Linked DNA regions of Drosophila melanogaster. The protein of the gene in region 1 purifies or fractionates together with the protein of each later gene. This does not show direct contact. Each region holds a gene or a part of one and is shown in the gene's direction. Other genes may lie near its edges.

Region 1 (7,548 bases):
GGCATTGGATCAATGTTCCAGCGTACAACAAAACGGACTTCCAGTGAAGAGACAACTGATATTTATACGGAATCCCAATCTGGTATTATGTATTATGATTTTTACAGTTTACTTAACGCAACAAATACGACTTAAGACTTGTGCGCTCAATGACTAGAAATTATAGTTGCGATTTTAGGATAACTATTCATGGAAAAACCACAAACGAGTTTTTAATAAAGAAAATTTTACTGATTAATTATTTTTAAAAGCGTTTGAAACATATTTCATTAATTCTGATAAAATCACAAATCGATACACTTAAAAACCCCCACAGCCAATCACAATAATTGAATAATGAACGTGTACATATTTTATTCCTTAAAGTTTTATTCGATTGGTGTAGCTTCATCCGTTTACTGATTATTTGCTCTTCGGTACCAGAAACGTGCCCGAAAGTCGTCGGAGCAGGTGAGGAAAGCAGGACCATTGGGCGAATGCGTAATATAGCGGACAGGTCCGTTGTGTCCAAGCGAGTTAAGGGTCAGGCGGCAGCCGTTACGGGAGTTCCACGAGCAAAGCGAAGTGGTGGCCTCGTCGGGGAAAAGCACGTAATCCTCTGTGTGGTTGAATACAGCCTCTGTCTGGTGCTCCTGCTTGCCGGTGGTTCCAGCGCCCGTGTACGTCTGAATGGGACGACTGGTACACAGCTCCCACAGATAAACCAGTGAATCCATACCGGAAGATAGGAGGTACTAAAATGAATAAGTTAAAATCTTGCACAGCCACTACCCATAGTGTCCCATTACCTTTCCATTCCGCGTAAACTCCAGTGAGCATATTGCCGCTCCGCCATGCGCCTCGGCAATGGTGTTGATGCACCGCCCGCTGATCCCATCCCATATTTTGATGTCACCATCATAGCTGCCTGTGGCGTAGAGTTTCCCCGTGGGCGAATATTTCACGCAAGTAACTCCAGCCTTGTGCTGCTGCGAGGGAATGGCACTCACGAAGCATTGGGTGGTGGCCACATCGTAGACCCGCAAGACGTTATGTTCCGTTCCGATGGCTACGTAGTCACCAGTAGGATGAAAAGACAGGCACAGCACCGGCTCGCAGTCGGTGAACACCTTGTGGGCCTTCTTTACCGAAGGCTTGGCAATGTCAAACAACTTAACAGTGCCATCGCGCGAGGCGGAGGCCAGGATGTGCTCCTTGGGATGGAACTCCAGGTAAGACACTTCATCAGTGTGATCATAGAGCGTGCGAATCACTGGATGGCCTTGTTGTTCCCTGCCCGGCTCGATATCTTCGGGCGCAGACTTCGCCAGCATCCGCTCCACGTCCAGAATCTTGATGCTGGCATCCACGCTCCCGGTGGCCACCAGGGAACCATCGCAACTGAAGGCGCCGGCGCGACAGGCCTGCTTGTGCGAGGTCACATACGCGGTTTCGTAGGAATGTGGTTCCGGGGCCAAGGCCGAAGCCTCCGGCTCGAATTCCAAGTCTATGCCGGGCAGCACATCATCCGAGTTGGTTTTGTCCTTGTCGCTCAGCGTCTGCATCCCTGCAATCATTACGTGCAGCAGGCGTTCACTGGGAGCGCACTGGTCCGCCTTCACCAGCATGGACAGCTCCATGGCGAACTTCTCCAGGCCGTCGTACATCAGCTGGCTGATCATCAGTCGGTAGAGTATCTCCCGGTTCTTCACTAGGTTACTGGGGTCCAAAATCTCATCACGCATGGTGGCTTAATTTATATTTTGTTTCCTACGGATATAAACAAAATCTTGTAGATAACGCCGTGCCGTTATCGTTATCGAAAACATTTATCTTGCCGGTATGTCATCTCTAGCTATGCGGTATTGAAATACTGAAATCAGGGTTTCGGTATTTTACGGTCCACGGTCACTCCTAACAGCTGCAACACGTGCGGTTTTAAAATTGTTTTGGTCCCCTCAATTGATTTTAAACATTGTTTGATTCATTAATTAAACCTCTCAACAATGAAGATCCGCAAGAATCATGCTCGCAAGCGTTATCGCTACAATGTAAACCGCAAGACGATGAATAAAACCCGGAGTTCCACCGGAAAAATTAAGGAGTAAGTTGGATCTTGGTGCACTTACAGCCAATAGAGTCAACAAGTTTACGAAAACCTTCTGTTATGATCTTACCAGTCCCAGGATGAAAAAGATGTGGATGGAGGACCAGCGTGTGGGCACCAACTTCAGTGAAATGGGGTTGGCCAAGGACGTCAACAAGGCCATTGCGATTCCCAGCTACAAGAAGGACCGCCTCCTAGCGGCCCGAGTTGTGAATGGGTTTCTGGAGGAGGAGCTGGACGAGGATGAGCGGCGTGTATTGGGCCTCAAGAAACCAGTCGTAGAGGAGGGTCCAAAACGTGGACACGTAGTCCAGGAACTAGAACAACTGGCTAGCGAGCGAGCCGACCCAGAGTTCAGGTAAAATATTGATTCTGCAATGGAAAACTGTCAAAATACAGGTTTTGTATTTGCACAGATTACCCAAGGGCGTGGTCAAGGAACTGTCCTACTTTCTTAACAAACATAAGTTTAACTACAAGGCGATGGTTGCCGATCGGAAAAACTTTGGCCAGTGGACGTGGCGGCAGTTCCGCTTGAAGATTCGCAGATTTATGTCGATTCCGGAGCAGTTTAACGTTTACCTGGAGCAGAAGAAGTTGCCCGTGGGCGTGAAACCGGACTGGGAGGAATACGAGTCGGACAGTGAATGGAAATAATGGCTCTTGACCAATGTACATTATAGTCGTTTTCGGGTTCTAATGCTATTAATTGTAATGTTTAGACTTACTTTAATTCTTTTAATACAATAAAATAGGCAAGTAAAGACGAACGCAAAAGGTCTACGTATTAAAGCATTACTGTTAATTACATTACATTACTATTAACAGTATTTTTTCAAATTCCTTTCTAACATTTTTGTTCTGTCAAATTTTCTATTGTTCTGTCGTACGACAGGACGAGAGAGAGAGAAAGGAAGGAGCTTGCGTCTTATTTCAACGCATAAGCGAATAGTGTGCACAATGTCTTTTGCAATTAGTGGTGAATGTGCATACTTTTAGTGACAGTCCGTGAAAGTACTATATTATTTTATCTGCAAAAGACTCAGTTTAAGAGAATATAAAATATTCCATGAATGGTAGTAAAATTGTATTACTATTTTTATTTTGGTACGTTTTATACTTAAGGGATGGAAACTTTATTTAAGTCAAGAAATCCGCATAATGCAATAGGAAACCCAAGGCCCTTGTCATACATGGAATCCTGTGCCATCTCTAGGTCGGAATCAGTTCAGCTCCGTTCACCTCAGCATCGTTGCTTTTTCGGTCTTTCCGTTTTGTGATTTCGAGGTAAGTGCACGCAGAGCTCCCGTTAAATTGTGAAAATATTAATAGGCATTGATTAGTTGTGGAAATGTAAAAAGGGAAAGTCCCAGAATTCCCTACCCTGCATTATTAGGCGAATTTCGGTTCGATTTTCCAACCTAAAGAAAGTTCTAAAGTAAAGAAAGTTCCGAAAAGTGAGAGAGTGTAAGTGATTTGCGCTGCCGGCCGGTCTTCTCATTCCTTTTGCATAATAGCTGTGTAAATCGATTCGAATTGGAAATTGGTTTTCCAGCGACCTTAAATTGCAAGTAAATTAATAAAGTTGCATAGACTTTCGAATTCCAACATGGCGACCGGCTGCATGTGTGTGCGCGTTCGATTTTGCCTGGATTGTACCCGTTTCTCCTTCCCGTTCTCAAGCCGTTTATTCCCGAGTAGTTTCTATTGGAATTCGCAGGCAAAAAAAAAATATCCGCGGCATGATGACACATGGTTAGCAGATTATTTTCCTGCCCTGCATCTCTGACGAAGTATTTTTGCATATTCTTTCCCCCTTCATTCCCATTGCTTCTTCCAATTTGCACTTCGATGCAAATACAAAGATTTAAAAATAACATGCAGGAAAATCGGCAAGTGAAACTGTCACTGGGGTAGAAAATAAATCACAACGCCCTGCAGTTCTCGCCGTCTCTTTCCCTTCCTTCTCTGCATGACCAGCAAGTGCACTGCGCCCGTTCGCCGTCCCTTTCTCTCCCGCTCTCTCCATCTCCCTCTACAGTTTTTCACCCTTTGGAATCGCGGAATTTTCGCCGCACGACCGCCACCGAATGCCGATGCTTTTGGCCATTTCCCTTTGAATTTTCTTCCACCGTGCTGCGAAAGCTGCCAAATTTCGGCATTTCGACATTTGGCTTTAATTGAAATCCGTTTGGGTGTGCGATTTTCATTGGTTTTCCCACTAAAAACGCCGGCCGGCACATTTTCGCCATGCACTGCCGCACTTCCCGGCTTTCCGACGAGGGTTTCTCTTCGGCTTAATCCTCTCCAGCCGAGGAGAGTGCATTTTCCCAGTACGCACACTTCGGCTCCATTCGTTTCTGTCTGGGGCTCGTTATTGATTTTTCGCCCGGTGCACTTCGGCAGAGGATATACACGGCAGTCTTTAACCAACAGACACTTGGCCCGGTCGTGGTCCGGCTGCAGAGTACGGAAGATCCGCATAGAGTTTAAAAACTGCCATTTTTATGACAACGATTTCCTTCTAATTCTAGGATATAGCGTCGCGTGGGTTTGTGATCAGTTTCTAAGTGCGCAGCGTTGCCGAGTAATAAGAAACTCTAGAAAGTCTCGTGAAAACAGGTGAGTTTTTCTGCTTGTAAATTCTTGCTGCATACATTTGTGGGCAAAAATATTATGGGAATATGGGTGTATTTCTCAATCGTACACATTAGTGTCCATAAGAGTCCGTAAAAACATACATGTGTATTTATATTTTTCCTATTATTCAGTATAAGGCTTAATTTGAACTAATTGGTAAACTTTTCGCGTGATTTTCGTGTTTACTCTTGAATTGTTTAAAATTCGTATTTTCGAAATATAAAAGTTCAATGGTTTTCCCTGGTGTACGTTTGTGCCTGTCCGTATGAAGTGTGCTTTTGGTGTCTACACCACGATGACACGACCCACAGCATACAGACGTCACTCGTCTGCACCACCCATTAAGTTCAGACCCACATTGGCATGCTACCTCCCCGAGTACGGAAACCACCCACTTTGCTCATCCGAATACCTGCATCCCTTCTGTCTCCCAGCAGCTCTAAAAAATAGCTTAATCTGCAAGGATGGGCAAGGAGAAGATCCATATTAACATTGTGGTCATTGGCCATGTGGACTCCGGCAAGTCGACGACCACCGGCCACTTGATCTACAAATGCGGCGGCATCGACAAGCGTACGATTGAGAAGTTCGAGAAGGAGGCCCAGGAAATGGGAAAAGGCTCCTTTAAGTACGCCTGGGTACTGGACAAGCTGAAGGCAGAGCGGGAGCGGGGCATCACCATCGACATTGCCCTATGGAAGTTCGAGACGTCCAAGTACTATGTGACCATCATCGATGCCCCTGGTCACAGGGATTTCATCAAGAACATGATTACCGGTACCTCTCAGGCCGATTGTGCGGTGCTGATCGTCGCCGCCGGAACTGGAGAGTTCGAGGCCGGGATCTCGAAGAACGGCCAGACCCGCGAGCACGCCCTTCTGGCATTCACGCTGGGCGTGAAGCAGCTTATTGTGGGCGTCAACAAGATGGACTCCACTGAGCCGCCGTACAGCGAGGCCCGCTACGAGGAGATCAAGAAGGAGGTGTCCTCGTACATCAAGAAGATCGGCTACAATCCGGCCTCGGTGGCCTTCGTGCCCATCTCCGGATGGCACGGCGACAATATGCTGGAGCCGTCCGAGAAGATGCCCTGGTTCAAGGGATGGTCCGTGGAGCGCAAGGAAGGCAAGGCAGAGGGCAAGTGCTTGATCGACGCGCTGGACGCGATCCTTCCACCCCAGCGTCCCACCGACAAGCCGCTGCGCCTGCCGCTCCAGGACGTCTACAAGATCGGAGGCATCGGAACCGTACCAGTAGGTCGTGTGGAGACTGGTCTCCTCAAGCCAGGTAAGGCTCCGGGTTGATGAGGTCGGGTGTGGGCCCTCTTTTCTCTTTGGGCACTTCATACATGTATTCTGCAAAATTTGGGTCGACAGTGGGCTGGCATCCAACAGCCACCGCCTCCAAAGCGGAGCCCGCAACGAAGTCTTGCGCATGTATGCATTATTGAGCGAACGTCTTCGTCGAGAGCGAGACCCTCCACCTCATGCACTTGGTGAAATTCTCACTCCGAAGAGCTTCCATTTTCAACATGAAAGTGAAAGGCCATTAAAATAAAATAACCCTAGCTAACATATTAATATATGTAGAGCTATTGATTCAAATAAAAATAAATTGGAGTTAGTTCGAATAATATCGCTCCACGTTTCTCTCTCTGTATGCACCCACCCCCATCCAAATGTCTACACATAACGTCCGGATATGTAACTTCGTTTCGGTCGCTTCGTTTCCGGTTTCGTTTCAGGCATGGTCGTCAACTTTGCGCCGGTCAACCTGGTCACCGAAGTAAAGTCTGTGGAGATGCACCACGAGGCTCTCACCGAAGCCATGCCCGGCGACAACGTTGGCTTCAACGTGAAGAACGTGTCCGTGAAGGAGCTCCGTCGTGGCTATGTGGCCGGCGATTCCAAGAACAATCCTCCTAGGGGAGCAGCCGACTTTACCGCTCAGGTAGGGTAACAAAGATGAGAAATCTTTGATAGTTGAACTCATCTTTGTTTGGTTTTTTTTTTTCTTTTTGCCCACAGGTGATTGTGCTCAACCATCCGGGCCAGATCGCCAATGGGTACACTCCCGTCTTGGATTGCCACACGGCGCACATTGCCTGCAAGTTTTCCGAGATCAAGGAGAAGTGCGACCGCCGTACGGGCAAGACCACCGAGACGGAGCCGAAGGCTATCAAGTCCGGGGATGCGGCCATCATTGTGCTGGTGCCCAGCAAGCCGTTGTGCGTAGAGAGCTTCCAGGAGTTCCCACCGCTGGGACGGTTCGCTGTGCGCGACATGAGGCAGACCGTGGCCGTGGGCGTCATCAAGTCGGTGAACTTTAAAGAGACGACCTCGGGCAAGGTGACAAAAGCCGCTGAGAAGGCACAGAAGAAGAAATAACTAGGGTGCCAGCAGAACAACGTCATCACTCGAACCCAACAACAACAAAAACAGACGGCTAGAGCAACAGCAGCAACAACACACAACAACAATACACATGTCAAAATTATAATACCCACTCGACGATCAAAATCACACCTTGACTCCATGGCAAGAGAGACACCAATTACTACTATTACTAGCTGCTGGGAGAAGCGGCAGATATTAACCGAAATCGAGCAGATTATACCCTATATAATAACCACACGTACGATTAGCGAGGAGAGGAGCATCAGGTGCAGCGAGGATGCGAAGGAGGAGCCCTTCCAGCTCGCCGGGTCGGTTTTGGTCGCCTTCGCCGTGGTGGTCTACTGCAGCTATCTGAACATGTATCGTCACCGCAAGTCCTTTCGTAGGAAACCACCCGCTAGCCACTCCGCAGAGTGGATAGGGGCC
Region 2 (7,548 bases), on another chromosome or scaffold:
TTTCCATCCAATTCTGTAAAATAGATACAGGTATATATTAGCCATTTATGGGGGTGAATGTTAAATATAAGCCATAGAAATCAAAAGGTAAGGGAAAAAAGCTTACCCCAACAAATGCTTTCGGCTTTTTGAGCGGAATCTCGAAAGGAGCGCTTTCGGGCCACCATTCTGGTTCACTGCAATCTATTTTCTTTGGTAAGTTTATGTGTCCTAAAGAGCATTGCACCATGAAGGGAATAAAATTTTCTAACTGGGACTCCGTAATTTTTTCTAGGGATGTTGGATATCCGTTCGCAAACAAAAGTGGTAGGTTGGATATCATGTTGTGTTGAGCTTTATCTTTTTCATCCATTGTCACTGCAAGTGAATTAAAATGTTATATTTTATTGCCATGTTATCGATAGTTTTCCAAGATAACCGATTAAAACGATTACATATGTATAACATATCTACTTAAAAATTTAAAACTACTAAACTTTCCTAAAACCAAACCAAACAAACGATTTCAAATATTTATTAGCAGTTGTGATAAGTAAGGGGCGCAGTATATGGATCTAGCTGTGTCCGTATGTCTGTCCGTCCTCATGAACGTCGAGATCAATAGAGAATACTGAGGGTGATGAGTAAACTCAATTAGGTACCGTGTAATAGTTGTTCTATAGTCCTTGAAAAGTATATAATGATCATCTGCCTGTCCGTCCTGATGAAGGCCAGTTACTCGTAAAAATATGAAACTAACAAGTCTTTACAGCCTTGATCCGGATTACTAGCCATGTCGATACAGCCATAACTGACTGTAAGTCCGTATTTGTTCGTATAATCGTAAAGCCCTCAGGTACTATTAAAGCTACCCTGGAATTGAATTGCCACGTACATTGTGACACCTAGGGATCAAGGTCTAGAATACATAACTGTTTACGTCCTTTTTGTTCTAGAAATCTCTAGTTTAGTGACCGCAAACATTACTTTTTTGCAGGACCATTTTATGAACGGTCACATTAAAAAATGGCGAGTGATAACCACAAAATGGCGAAGATACAGACTGTCAAGTCCGTGGGGACAATCGATAAAGGTATCGATGATTTTTTTTTGCAAAATTACAATCCTTGAAATGTACCTTTATTAGGTACTATATATCGTATACACATTGTACCAATAAAGTACAGCAATATGATTAAACTTTTTTTTTTATAAAATACTTGTTTTGCCAAAGGCGTTGCCACTTTGGTTTAGAACCAAAGCTAGTGGTTACGCCTAGCGATTTCATGAAATTGACATGAAGTGGAATGTTCCCACTTACAGGTTTGTGCGATATCGCTTCGCGAATGCTAACTATGCAGTTTATACGAGTTATATATTCTTGTGGCGAGCCACGACCAGCGTTTCACTTTTGCAAAAGGGGCAGCTCATAAACCTTGCGTCTAACTGCAGATTTCCTTACTGAAAAACCACGAATTGCTCTCATATGTGTACATGCACACACACGCACACACACACGAAAAACACACATATGTATTCCAAGGGAAGTGGAATAAGTTTGCAAATAAAATTTTTACTGCATAACTTGGGACATTTTTATACGTAAACACACTCACACAAGCACTTCTAGATAATTATACATAAACACAAATATTCATATGTTAAATGGAGTCATCACAATTATGCTGTGGTATAAATATCCCACCTGATTTAGACGAGTGTATGTAATACACTCAACGAAAATTACTATGTTCAGCATCATTTGAAATATAATTTGAATAGTACACACTTATACGTTAAACTGGTTGATAACGAACATTTCGACACCGATTTTGTATGGCAATACATTAAACTCAGTGCTCTGGAATGCTCAGTGCTCTCTGCATATACATATCACTGAGTGAATCCATTAGAAAGGAGTCTCAAAAACCGATCAAAATAGAATCACCATCAGTACGCACCAAGAATTCGCAATGATTAACAAAACGGTAGACACCGAGATCTACAATCACAAATATGATAACATAGTTACAGTACACAACACTTTCTTCGTAAAAAAACCATTTGTTGTAGTTGCTATCGAATAGTCGAAGTGAGAACTGACTGCTAAATGGCTGAAATAATTGTGACAAATACTACCCAGTCTTCAAATTGAAACGCGGAAATGGAACAAAATGTGATGTTGCACTTTTACTTTGCTCTTAAAAAAGTTTTTTACTGTAAATAAAATACATGTACTGGAATTTTTGTGTAAAATCGACATCGAATTAATTCGATTCCATCAAACACAGCTGACGCAAACATCTGTTAATCTCTTATACAAAGTAAAGGAGAGTTGTATACCTTTAAAAAACTTTAAAACATTTTTTTTATTATGGTATCTTTTTCTAGCTTTTTAGTAGCACACAAGGACGAGGTCCGTGATATAAAAATTTTGTTAAAGAGAAGAAGAAGCATTAAATAGTTAAGTGGAAGATAATATATAAAAAAAGTATCCCTCTGTATCCCTCTTTCATCAAACCTCTTCACGCAACGACGACAATTGTGGTGAACATTTCGTTGCAACCCATCACAAGCAATAAATCAACTGATGACAAGTATACACACATGTTGATCCGCAGGCCTGTGCAAAAGTTCGTCAAACATCGATGAGGTGCCACGTGGAACTTACATTTTGCTACGTTGAGATCAAACTTTTTTTTTATTTCTTTCCGGGCACTAATAAGTGTTTCAATTTATGGACGTTTTGTAAAAATTGCAATAAATTTGTTTATTTACTCGCACATCAAAAAGCAGTTCGTATGAGAATGAGAACGTGTTAAAAATTTGGTTGAAATAAAAATGTCGTGTTTCATTTCCATCGTTTCAGTAGCAATAAAAAACGAATCCGATGGCGTAGATATCGATATACCTGCATTCCCTTTCAAACGTGTTATCGTATTGTTCAGCCAATTGTGCAACGTGTTTGAGTAAATCTGCGGGCGAAAGACTAAAAATGAAAGTAGAGGCATTGGACAAATTCTGGGCTGACAAGAGCCGCTACGATCTTGCCGAGAAGCGATTCTACGAGGGTCCCCAGAAGGTAAAATCTCTAAGCAATCACAGCCATAAGTACTTAAGTTGTTAGCCAGTTTCACGTGGCCGGTAAATCAGTTCAAATGGTTTCGGCAATGTTTATTGCAAATCTGTTTGTTTTAACAGCAAGGACGCCGAAACACACATGTTCTAAACTTCAATACATACGTAGAATGATCTATTAAAAGATTTCTATATTTATCTGCCTTTGATTTTCAATTGCTGTGTTCATATTGCACATTACATTGGTATATTCTTGTAGCTGTATGTAACAGGTGAACGTTTAACACTTTTAAAAAATATAACTATGTGCGTAAAGTGTATACAAAACAGAGTGTGAGAGAAAACTAACTCTGGCAAGCCAAATTTTGAATACACTTTCCGTTTGGCAATTGGTATAAATACAAAATATAGTATGCAAAACATAAGTACTTAACATGACACCTACACAACAAAATTCGTTTATTCAATGGAAATGTGCCAAAAACAAATCGATGTATACAAAGTTAAAACCTATTGAAATTCAGGGAAATACTATAGTTAAGTAAAGGTTTAAACACGTTGTATTCTATCTACACAAATATACTACACAAAATGCATAGCACTGCATTGTATAATATTTAAACTACGTACAATTTTTGGGCTGATTAGAGTGAGGCTTATCAGTATTTCAGCATGCTTGCATGACAACAGACTTGAAGTAGATGCCCGTACATAAAACATCTCATTTTGCTTAAAAATTATTATCCCTAGAATCCTTTGTCAACCATTCGATACACCAAATGTCAGTTCACACAAGTAATCAATGGTGTTGTCTTATTTTTAAAGGTAACTGATCGCAGCCACTACAGCCCATTAGTAAGCGAAATCGCAAAGGCTAGGGAACACATACAGAACTCGCTGGAAAAGGTAACTATTGTGATAAATCTTTGTATTTCAACATTTGATTTGTTCACATTCCTAGGTTTCTTTCGGTTTCTTTAAAACTTTGTAGAGAATTGTATAATTATTATTTACAATATATTTAGTCTGTACTTATGATCAACATATCCCAATGAGGACTTGAATTTGAATTATTAATCAAGCCTTTTGTGTGTGTTCCAGATCGATGGCGTTACTCTGGACGATGGCTTAAATTCCGAGCTGGCCAAGCGTCTGGCCCAATTGGAGGGTGAACACAAGGAGTTGAAGACCCAGGTTTCCTTGTTGAACGAACTTTTGACTGCCACAGTGAAGCGCTTGGAAACTCAGCTGAAATTGACGAATGGAGTGTCGAAAGAGCCCGAGGTCGAAGCGAAAAAACCAGAAGCGAACGACGACGATGACGATGTGGATCTATTTGGATCGGACAGCGAGGAGGAGGATGGAGAGGCCGCCCGCATAAGGGAGGAAAGGCTGGCAGCCTATGCTGCCAAGAAGGCCAAGAAAGTTCAAATTATTGCCAAGTCGAACATCATTCTGGATGTTAAGCCGTGGGACGATGAGACCGATCTGAAGGTTATGGAGACGGAAATCCGCAAAATCACCCAGGACGGTCTACTGTGGGGAGCTTCCAAATTCGTGCCAGTTGCCTTTGGCATTCAGAAACTGAGCATTTCATGCGTGGTTGAGGATGATAAGGTTTCCATCGATTGGCTGACTGAGGAGATCGAGAAACTGGAAGACTTTGTCCAAAGTGTTGACATCGCTGCGTTCAACAAAATCTAAGGGGTAACATATAATTTTTCAATTCACGATCGGATTTGCCGCATTACAAATGTGTTTGGGAGTCGTCTAAATAAATATTTTGATAAAAACCAACTTAAAAAACTGCATTTAAACTGGGAGTAATTGGTAAATAGTTTACTTTAGGATATTTTTTATGCAAACGATATGTTTTGAATTCGCTAAAAGGCCATATTATTTCAAAATTTATAAGAAAAGAAGATATATATTAGTTTAAGTCATGTATTCGCCATTCTTTGATTAATTAAATTCATTTACGCACGAGTATAAAAACAATGCAAATTACCTATTAAATAAATATTCCAGGTCACAGCTAAATTATGCACATATTAATAATGATTAAACTGAGGGACTAGTTTCATAAGGCTCTACAAATTATAAATAGTTAATCATAAGTTATTTAACCATCCTAAAGCATAACTTCGTTTTCGGGTCTCGTCGACGTTTGGCGCTTAAACTCACAGCTGCCAGGAGAATGTCGAAGAGTGGTCATCGCGGTGCTGGTTGGAGCATAGGATTTGGTCACGCCAGCGCGGGTTCTAGTCGATGCAGTGCTCGGATTTGATTGCAGACCTTAAAGATTAAATAAATACAAATTACATGTAGTATATTCAACTAACTGCCAGTTAATTGATGCCACTGAAACTTACCAAACTTAAACATAATTTCGTTATAAATTCTGCGCTTAAACACAAATATAATGAAGACAAAGATTCCAAGTAGCACATTAAACGAATCGCTGATGGTCCAAAAGAACGTTTTCTTGTGATCATAAAACAAAATGCTAACTATTTCCAACAGCCATGTGATGCCCATTACGAAACACAGTTTCGTGTTCATAACGAATCTGGTTTTGTCCTGAAAGAATCGCCTTTTCAAAACTGGCTTGTCGCTGTTCAAGCTCTGCATTTTGTATATTTCATTTTTTACTTTGTTGCAATACTTCATTGTGAGCACGAATAGAACTAAGTTTATAATGAAAAGTATGCCAACTGGACCCGAAAAGAACAATAAGCTGGCTGAACCAAAAGAATCATCTGGAATTAATACAAAAATATACAAATACTTTAATATTTAAATCGTAATTTAATTAGATTTTTAACTTACACGTAAACCAGCAACGACCATGTCCAAAATTTGGACGCACCGCATCCGGTAAAATGTCAGATTTCGTAAAAGCTATGGTTATTCCAGTTAGCAATGTTGGTAGCCCCCAGCCATAACACGAATACCAAATAAACTGCCTTCTCAGGTCGCTCTTTTCGCAGCTTTTAAGCTTTGTTGATCTACAATTAAATAAGTGTAAATTATTGCAAGTTTATCTAAATTTCAAAAGCATTTGTACTTACCCAAATGTTTTCCATATGTCAAAGGAAGTAATGTTCATCCAAGAAAAGGCAGCCATTAAACAGAAGTACACGAAAAAACCTTCAAGATACAAAACAGAAACAGTTTGTTTAGGTTTTAGTTACCAAATTGCACAAGAGAATGAGACAAAATACCCTTAAACAATTAAGTACTTGACGAGTATAACTATGAATGTAATAATAAAAGTGATTGCTATCGATTTCCCGCTTTTATGGTATAATAACTTGTAGGTCTCCTCGTCCCAGCAGGATTAGCAACTAATTACCTAATGGCTGCAATACCCACCAGAAAGAAAACAGATGTCGTCATTCGATGTGGGTCGCAATTGGCCCAGCGCGATTCCAAGATATGCCGCAAACAAGCTGCTAACGAGGCAAATTAGGATTTTGCCGGGCAGGTTTCTCAATTTGGCAATTGAAATGTAGACAATCAGTGTGAGTGCATAGAAGCAGCAGGATATGAGCAGGCCAATGGGATACATCTTGAAGCGAATCCTGTCGCCGGTCACCACCTTATTATCAAAGCACAAAAATGTATACAGCTGCTCTGAAAGGAACGAAGGCAAATAATTAGGATTATACAAGACACTACTGTATAAAATATGTCGATTTAAATAGGAAGGAGTTTACCTTTTGATTGGGTCTGACCCGTTCCACGCAGTACTGAGTATTCGTATAGGTTTTGAATGTGTTATGAATGATAAGCGAGCCATTGGACGGATTTATCGTATGCGAATCGTCTGGAAAATTATCAGGATCCAAGCGAAACTTTGGGCACTGCAAGCCGTGAACAATACCGAAATCTGAAAAGTATTGAATACAATACACTATACAATCTGACCTATGTCAATGAAAAGGCAAATGTGTCATTCACTTGTTGATTAACCAGATAAGAAAATTTGACAAAAATAATTAAAATGACAAAGCTAATGAAAAATGTCAATACTAATGAATGACGTAGATAACTTCAATAGCGAAATTTGCTTGGCACTTGAAACCAATTGTTTATACCACTTATTTGATCAGACAAATGGAAAACATCAAAATCGATTGCTTCCAATTCTTAATAATATTTTTGATCATTAAGTTTACGACTTTAATGGGCGATTACTGCGTTCAATTGCCGCTCGTTTCCTGCTATAAAGACCTATAAAAATAACTGCAAAACTGGTGACGACATACCTGAGGGCTTTGAGAAGTTTGCGTTGATATTTAGGTTCTGAAAACCCTCAAATTTGAAATCGGTTCCATCGATCTTGCAATAGGTACTGAAATTTCCTTTTGCATACATTTCACCTTCGGCACAACAACGACGAATACAGGGTATTTTTTGGCAAATTTTCATTTCCTGACAAGCACGCACCAGAAACTTCTGTTCCGGTAATGCACCTCTATCCAAATC

What was found.
Region 2: the proteins of eEF1alpha2 (region 1) and eEF1delta purify together in Drosophila melanogaster (affinity purification with mass spectrometry, with the first as the bait; one large-scale study listed by BioGRID). This does not show direct contact.

What each region holds. Positions count from the first base shown.
Region 1 is NT_033777.3:31,735,157-31,742,704, forward strand, and holds the start of eEF1alpha2 (eukaryotic translation elongation factor 1 alpha 2), read left to right. Parts: upstream 1-3,311; 5' UTR 3,312-3,373; intron 3,374-4,503; exon of another isoform or gene 4,504-4,553; intron 4,554-4,620; 5' UTR 4,621-4,708; intron 4,709-5,160; exon of another isoform or gene 5,161-5,163; 5' UTR 5,164-5,190; coding exon 5,191-6,013; intron 6,014-6,470; coding exon 6,471-6,676; intron 6,677-6,753; coding exon 6,754-7,113; 3' UTR 7,114-7,548. Other genes in the region: CstF50 (cleavage stimulation factor 50 kD subunit), read right to left, coding at 396-734, 789-1,724; CG11563 (uncharacterized protein), read left to right, coding at 1,986-2,083, 2,160-2,444, 2,503-2,743.
Region 2 is NT_033779.5:10,229,599-10,237,146, forward strand, and holds eEF1delta (eukaryotic translation elongation factor 1 delta), read left to right. Parts: upstream 1-2,908; 5' UTR 2,909-2,974; coding exon 2,975-3,061; intron 3,062-3,882; coding exon 3,883-3,963; intron 3,964-4,158; coding exon 4,159-4,761; 3' UTR 4,762-4,852; downstream 4,853-7,548. Other genes in the region: ova (ovaries absent), read right to left, coding at 1-13, 107-352; mthl15 (methuselah-like 15), read right to left, coding at 5,189-5,352, 5,430-5,816, 5,887-6,065, 6,129-6,207, 6,433-6,688, 6,777-6,949, 7,329-7,548. UniProt on the Drosophila melanogaster protein: EF-1-beta and EF-1-delta stimulate the exchange of GDP bound to EF-1-alpha to GTP.